Linked DNA regions of Saccharomyces cerevisiae S288C. The main gene of each other region encodes a partner of the protein of the gene in region 2 in a complex. Each region holds a gene or a part of one and is shown on either strand. Other genes may lie near its edges. A codon is read from its position in the direction of its gene.

The links.
Region 1: the proteins of CTF19 (region 2) and OKP1 are in contact, whole or in part, in a cryo-EM structure (PDB 8OVX), measured with the Saccharomyces cerevisiae proteins. Residues at the interface, in NP_015307.1 of Saccharomyces cerevisiae: Glu246 (codon at 886), Lys249 (codon at 877), Ile250 (codon at 874), Lys253 (codon at 865), Phe300 (codon at 724), Leu316 (codon at 676), Pro317 (codon at 673), Met318 (codon at 670), Ser319 (codon at 667), Ile321 (codon at 661), Ser322 (codon at 658), Ile323 (codon at 655), Gln334 (codon at 622), Ile335 (codon at 619), Asp338 (codon at 610), Tyr342 (codon at 598), Leu344 (codon at 592), Ile345 (codon at 589), Lys346 (codon at 586), Glu347 (codon at 583), Tyr348 (codon at 580), Gly349 (codon at 577), Val350 (codon at 574), Thr352 (codon at 568), Glu356 (codon at 556), Asn359 (codon at 547), Asp365 (codon at 529), Met366 (codon at 526); in NP_011695.1 of Saccharomyces cerevisiae: Leu296 (codon at 836), His297 (codon at 833), Pro298 (codon at 830), Val299 (codon at 827), Leu300 (codon at 824), Asn301 (codon at 821), Lys302 (codon at 818), Gly321 (codon at 761), Pro322 (codon at 758), Thr324 (codon at 752), Phe325 (codon at 749), Asp328 (codon at 740), His330 (codon at 734), Glu331 (codon at 731), Leu332 (codon at 728), Asn333 (codon at 725), Leu334 (codon at 722), Met335 (codon at 719), Leu336 (codon at 716), Asn337 (codon at 713), Pro339 (codon at 707), Ile340 (codon at 704).

The regions. Positions count from the first base shown.
Region 1 is NC_001139.9:853,175-856,766, forward strand, and holds OKP1 (Okp1p), read right to left. Parts: upstream 1,722-3,592; coding exon 501-1,721; downstream 1-500. Other genes in the region: PBP1 (Pbp1p), read right to left, coding at 1-41; ribonucleotide-diphosphate reductase subunit RNR4, read right to left, coding at 2,090-3,127. UniProt on the Saccharomyces cerevisiae protein: Component of the kinetochore, a multiprotein complex that assembles on centromeric DNA and attaches chromosomes to spindle microtubules, mediating chromosome segregation and sister chromatid segregation during meiosis and mitosis.
Region 2 is NC_001148.4:515,517-519,271, reverse strand, and holds CTF19 (Ctf19p), read right to left. Parts: upstream 1,622-3,755; coding exon 512-1,621; downstream 1-511. Other genes in the region: IRC15 (Irc15p), read left to right, coding at 1-538; VTC3 (vacuolar transporter chaperone), read left to right, coding at 2,254-3,755. UniProt on the Saccharomyces cerevisiae protein: Component of the kinetochore, a multiprotein complex that assembles on centromeric DNA and attaches chromosomes to spindle microtubules, mediating chromosome segregation and sister chromatid segregation during meiosis and mitosis.

The DNA.
Region 1 (3,592 bases), on a different chromosome or scaffold from region 2:
GAGTTGGTGGAGCTATCTCTTTTCCTAAAGTTTCCCTTCATATTGTTTCAATGTAATGAACTCCTTTAATTACTTCCGTGACTGAGGATGTCAGTTTTTATATCAAATCAATTTTCAAAGATTTAATTATTGCTTCCCCTTCAAGATCAATTCGGAAATAATCGAAACGTCTTCTGGAAAGAACAAAAAGAAAGATAGAAGAAAACGCGAGTGAATGACCTATATCTTCCTTAAAGATCTATGCGATGAGAGATGCCGATTTAAGAACTGCTTTACAAAAACGCAAATCTCAAGTAAAGAAAGTGCCTCCCAATTGAGCTTTCCTTCCTTCTTTATTTTTTTTTTTTTCCAGTTTTTCATAATTTGTTGTGGCTCTCCAAGGTTTTCTGAGGCTCGTTGGCGGAGAAGTTACGTAACCCGGATGCTAATAGTGCATGATTATATATCAAATATTTAGTTATATGCATCGTAATCGTAAACTCTGAAACAATGGATTATCGCTAGTGTATATCTTCTTCGGTCTTATCTTGGTGCGACTCATGGTGCGGTACAAAAACCTCTTTGATTTCTTCTTCATGTGAATCCGAAATCATTTGACCCATTGTTTCCTTAAGTTCCTTTGATTTCTTCGTATATTCTTTCAAAGAAGGTAACAACGACAGTACTTCCTCCTTATCAAGCCTCACATCGGCTGTACTTTTTATGGGGTCGTTCAACATCAGGTTCAATTCGTGGCTATCATTTCTAAAAGTTACTGGGCCATCAGGATGCATAAATCCATTAGTAGATTCTAAGCCATATGTATATTCCATTGCTTTGTTAAGTACTGGATGCAGATCTTTTTGTATTAGCTTCTCAGTGAGTCGTTTCTTGTTGTTTGTTTTTAAATTCATGCACAACTTCCTAGTTTCCTCCAAAAGGTTTTGTTCACGTGAAAGAATTGCTTCCAATCTCTCATTATTTTGTAGTTCTTGTGAATACCGGTTTTGAATAAATTGTCGCTTAGAATAAATATACTCGATGTCTAGATCTCTTTCCGATATCCTAGAGGGAAATTTGGCCTGTCTTAGCTTCTTCTTTATCTTTGTGAGGATTATTTCAAGCAAACGTTCCTTCTTAGAATATATTCTTTTAACCTCATTATTATCGCCATGCGTCATTTGGTTCATTTCCTTTTCGTACTTCTCAAAGACAGAATCAAGAGCGCTTACAGTGTTAGTCTCTAATAAACGAAGTATGGATCCTATCATTATTTTAGAAGGCTTTTTCCAATGCTTTAATTCATAATTGCGCGGCAACCTTTCTCTATACTCAGCTTGTATTACCTTCCTGAATTCCCAAGGTCGTACATTGCCCTCTCCACTTGTTGCGCTTCCATCCGATAGATGAGATTGCAATTTACCTGTACTTTCCTTGCCAACCTCAAATCGAAGTTGTTTAGATCCTTTATGATGGTATTGTCCTTCTTCTTTGTTCGTGCGCTCTTCTATTTCTCCTTCTTCAGCATCATCAGAGTTCTCATAAAAAAGCGACTTCTTTGATTGGGTGCTTTTAGCTTCTGGTGCTACGTCCAGACGTAAAGTTTTAATATCATTCACATTCATGAGAATGCTGCTATCGCTTTCAGAGGAACTTCGGTTGGGTGACAGATCCATGGCCTGGCCATTGTTAATTGAATCATTTTCAATATTTTGTAAAAAATTATCTCTATCAGCTGCCATACAGTATACGTAGCACTAGTATCGCTTGAATTATTCGTCCATAGGGTGCAAGTTACCTCATCCATTGTTGCTATGTACCTCTATCTGTATTAACTTCGAGGTAGTAAACAAATGGGTGGACCGTATTGTGACTCTCCGGGTAACAAAAATATGTTATTTAAATGAAATGACCGGGATGATGGTACTCTCTGAATCTTTCCCTTATCTACCTACAAGAAAATGGCAAATATTGTCATAATAAATATAAAAAAAAACTGTAGTTTCTTTTTAAATTTTTCTACTTAAGTTTAGTTATACTGTACCTAGGTATATATAAATATATATAAATAAAAGTGGCCAAGAATAAAAGAACGCACCCCGTCGTTGACTTAGAAGTCATCATCAAAGTTAATTTCCTTGGATGGGGTAGCGGACTTAGACATGTCACTGGCCTTTTGGTAGTCGGAAACCTTCTTTTCAAAGAAGGTGGTCTTACCAGCGGTAGCGACATCCTCCATGAATTCGAATGGGTTGACGGCGTTGTAGTATTTTTCGTTACCGAAACCTTGTAATAGACCGTCAGCGACAAATTCTATGTAGGTGTGAATGCTCTTCAAATCCATACCAAATTTTTCTACTGGCAAAGAGTTTGAGTAGTATTCCTTTTCAATTTCCACGGCTTCGGTAATGATTTTTTCAATGATCTTGGGGTTTGGCTTGGTTCTCAAATGGGCAAATAGCAAGCATGAAAAGTCAGTGTAGGCACCTCTGTCTCTACAGATGTTTCTGTTGGCCATTGCTAAACCTGGCATAATCTTTTTGTCAGTCAACCAGAACATAGAAGCATAGTTACCAGCTTGGAAAATACCTTCCTTTGCAGCAAATGCTACTAGTCTTTCAGCATACAAGCTGTCATCGTTGGAAATCCATCTCTCGATGAAAGCAGCCTTATGCTTGACTTCAGGCAAATTGGCAATTTCCTTGAATAGAGGGATGTTCTTAGGGTCCTTGAAGAAGGCATCAACCATCATGGAGTAAACTTCAGAGTAGATGTTTTCCATCATAATCTGGAACCCGTAGAAACTCTTACCTTCAGGGTTTTGCAATTGGGCAGAAAAGTTTTCGATCAAGTACTTGTTGACAAGGTTGTCAGAAGAAATGGACAAGGCTAACAAGTTACCGATGTAGGTCTTCTGGTCATCAGTCAATTTTTGGAAATCTTCAGTGTCCTTAGCCAATTCGATTTCTTCCGCAGTCCAGAAAGAGGCTTCAACCTTCTTGTAAGCAGCCCAGATTTCGTGGTATTTGATAGGGAACATCACGAATCTACGGCTGTTTTCCATCAAAAGGATTTCATCCTTTTCAGCTTCTTTCATATCATGACGTTCTTTTTGGAAAGTCTTCAAAAATTGGTTATGTGCTTCCATTGTAATAACTAATTGTGTGCGTTGCGCGGGGTTGTGTGGCTCAAAAAGATCTGTTTTTGTATTAGCAATTTTTTATTTCCCTTTTTAAATGAATTTTTTTTCTTTCTGTTTCGAGACAAGGCCTTTTGCAAAAAAAAAAAAAGTAAAAAAGTGAAATTTGATAGTGTAAGGGGACAGAGGTGGGGTCAGAAACCAATGTATCTATTGATAGTCTTTTTTTGATCGAAAAGCCAAGAGACAAAAAATGAAGAAAATGAGAGATAAGGAATGAAACTTTAGGAACATTGAAGATTCAATCGCCGTTTTTATACGCCAGAGCTTCATGAGACCAAGGAAGGAACGGACGTCGTCTACCGATTACAGTAAGCAAAGAGGATGGTGTTGCCACAACAACGCCCATCGGGAAGGCAAGAGACGCTGTGGTGAACAATAACTGCCAAAACGTGGTTCTCGCACGCTGAAAAG
Region 2 (3,755 bases):
GCTAAAGTACCCTCATATTAAACCCATAGGAGACGTTACATTGGGCCCCATGCTGGCGCTGAAAGCGGAAGAACAAGCTATAAGGGCCATTCAATCAATAGGCTGTACAGGCTCCGACGGAACCTCGAATTGTGGCTTCCCACCAAATGTGCTGTACTGTCAGCCTCAGATTGGCTGGGTCGGATACACTGAGGAGGGGTTGGCAAAGGCTCGCATCCCATATCAAAAAGGCAGGGTTTTGTTCTCACAGAACGTTAGATATAACACGTTATTACCACGGGAAGAGAATACTACAGTTTCTCCTTTCATTAAAGTTCTGATAGATTCTCGTGACATGAAAATACTAGGCGTTCATATGATAAACGACGATGCAAATGAATTGCTGTCGCAAGCATCGATGGCGGTGTCGCTTGGCCTTACCGCCCATGATGTCTGTAAAGTACCGTTCCCTCATCCGAGCTTATCGGAATCGTTTAAGCAAGCCGTCCAGTTGGCAATGGCAAATGGAACATCACCTGGCGTACATGTCCGGGAATAGGCAAACGTTGCAGATCTCCTTTAACCCGGTTTTCACACCATATTCCTTGATAAGTCCGTAGCATATCTCGTCCAAATCTATCTGGTTAAATCTTTCTCCCCCCTTCCATAGCGCTATTGAAATTTTACTCATGGGCAGAAAACAGTTACGAGGTTTGCCTCTCTCACCGGGCATTGTAATGATGAAATTTATCTGCAATTTTATCGTCGTGAGTCTTCCTTCTCTAATAACTCTTTCCACAATTAATGAGTCACTATTATTCATTAGATAACACCTGGTTTTCCTTTTCAATAAATTAATCAAATTTTGGAAAATTCCAGTTTTTTTGGACTTGATCTTATCAAACTCATAAAGGCTTAATAGACACTTCTGGAAGTTACGTGTTGCCAGTAATTGCTTGGCCTTCAGTCTAACGTTTGTGGAAATTCGCAAGATTTCCCACTTCAGCAGTGTGGAATCTTCAAATTTATAGAACATTTTGAACTGAATTTCAAAAGGATTCATCGTGTTTCTGCAGAATTTATAATTGACCACCAAAACTTCAATCCCATCGTTATGTACTCTGTCTCTTGATTGCACAGAAACTTGAAGATGCGGGTATGTGTGGTCTCTCAAATAACTTAGCCGTAGATTCATATTTAACAAAGGTAACGTGTCGTATTTTGTTACTAGTTCCTTCTGCAAGTTAGTTAGCCCATTGATCCTCTCGACCCGCTTGCGGTCACTTATCGCCGAATTAGGATTAGAGGATGAGATCGAGATTAGATTAAGAAAATCCTGTGTGATATCGTTTTGGAGGATATCACCATTTTTAGTCTTACTGTTATTTTCCTTCATCAAGATATTTTGGTACGTCTGGATCTCTTGTAAAAGAGTATTTCTCCTTGTCAACAGCGCATCCTTCTCCTCCTGTAGCTTCAGTGCGCGTACCTGATCATCATCTAATAGCGATAGTTGTTGCTTCTCGTCCCCATCAATGTTTACATCTGCTTCACCAGCATGATGTGTACCCACAGCGTCTTCCAGACTTAAATGCGAATTCGATGTGTCGTGCGAATTCGTCGTATCAGACGTAAAATCCATATTTGCGTTCTTTGCCGACCTAGTATCAACAAGATCACACTAGCTCCAAGGTATATAGCTGTTTATATAAGTCTAAATTACGCGTTTCTGATTTTTCGGCGGACTCCAACTATTAGATAGTCACCATTACCGGTTACATTACCGGCCACATAGTAGAACGCCAGAGTATATATGCCGTGACCTTCACGGTTTGGATGTTAATGAGTAACTTGCACAGCTATTGGTATTTGGACTTCTTGGCACATTTTTCCCTGTACAGCTTTTCTTTTTTTCAATGTGCGAGGGCCCACGTGGCTTAATACAACACAGTGCAGTCGCAAGCACGTGCATGCGATTTTGAAAGCACAAGGCAGAAACGTGGAAACATACACACACGCACACACCCAACTTTCGAGTGGGTTTCATCCAGGAAGAACTTTTAAATAGAGGCCAGAGAGCGGCTTACATCAGACATCTTTTCTCGAACTTACTTCATCTTCTCAATATCGAGAGGGCCCATTGGCGGGTAATAATACGCATAAGAGTGATCTAATCCAAGTAGTACCTCCTTAGCGCTTTTTTTATTATCACTATAGGTCATTTGGCTATTAGAGCGAACAGCAGAATTTGTCCTTGGTTTTCAGAGTTTGAAAATGCTATTTGGTATTAAACTGGCTAACGACGTATATCCTCCCTGGAAGGATTCATATATCGACTATGAAAGGTTGAAGAAATTACTAAAGGAAAGCGTCATACATGATGGCCGTAGTTCCGTGGATAGTTGGTCCGAAAGGAATGAATCTGATTTTGTGGAGGCCTTGGATAAAGAACTAGAAAAGGTTTACACATTTCAAATTTCCAAATATAATGCTGTCTTGCGAAAATTAGATGATTTAGAGGAAAACACTAAATCAGCTGAAAAAATCCAAAAAATAAATTCTGAGCAGTTCAAAAACACCTTAGAAGAATGTCTAGATGAGGCTCAAAGATTGGATAACTTTGACAGGTTAAATTTTACTGGGTTTATCAAGATTGTGAAGAAACACGATAAATTACATCCAAACTATCCTTCTGTAAAGTCTCTTTTACAAGTCAGATTGAAAGAACTTCCTTTCAACAATTCAGAAGAGTATTCTCCCTTGTTGTATAGGATCTCATATCTGTACGAGTTCTTGAGATCAAATTATGATCATCCAAATACGGTGTCTAAATCATTAGCAAGTACTTCTAAATTATCACATTTTTCTAACCTTGAAGACGCAAGTTTTAAAAGCTACAAGTTTTGGGTTCATGATGATAATATAATGGAGGTTAAGGCTAGAATCTTAAGGCATCTACCTGCTTTGGTTTATGCGTCGGTTCCAAATGAAAATGACGATTTCGTCGATAATCTAGAATCAGATGTCCGCGTACAACCTGAAGCGCGCTTGAATATTGGTTCAAAGAGTAACAGCCTTTCTAGTGATGGTAATAGCAACCAAGATGTTGAAATTGGAAAATCAAAGAGCGTTATTTTCCCACAGTCATATGATCCAACAATCACTACATTATATTTCGACAACGATTTTTTTGATTTGTACAATAACAGATTGTTGAAAATCAGCGGTGCACCTACGCTGAGATTAAGATGGATCGGTAAACTGCTAGACAAACCTGACATATTTTTGGAAAAGAGAACTTTTACAGAAAATACCGAAACTGGTAATTCAAGTTTTGAAGAAATCAGATTGCAAATGAAAGCCAAATTCATCAACAATTTTATTTTTAAAAATGATCCCAGTTACAAAAACTATTTAATTAATCAACTAAGAGAAAGGGGTACTCAAAAGGAGGAACTGGAAAAACTTTCTAGAGACTTTGATAACATCCAAAACTTTATTGTTGAGGAGAAGTTGCAGCCAGTTTTGAGAGCTACCTATAATAGAACTGCTTTCCAAATTCCTGGAGATCAAAGTATTAGAGTCACTATCGATTCCAATATCATGTACATTAGAGAGGATTCTTTGGACAAAAATAGGCCCATTAGGAACCCTGAGAATTGGCACCGTGACGATATTGATTCCAATATTCCCAACCCATTGAGGTTTTTAAGAGCAGGAGAATATTCGAAGTTCCCCTATTCTGTAATGGAGATTAAGGTTATAAACCAAGATAA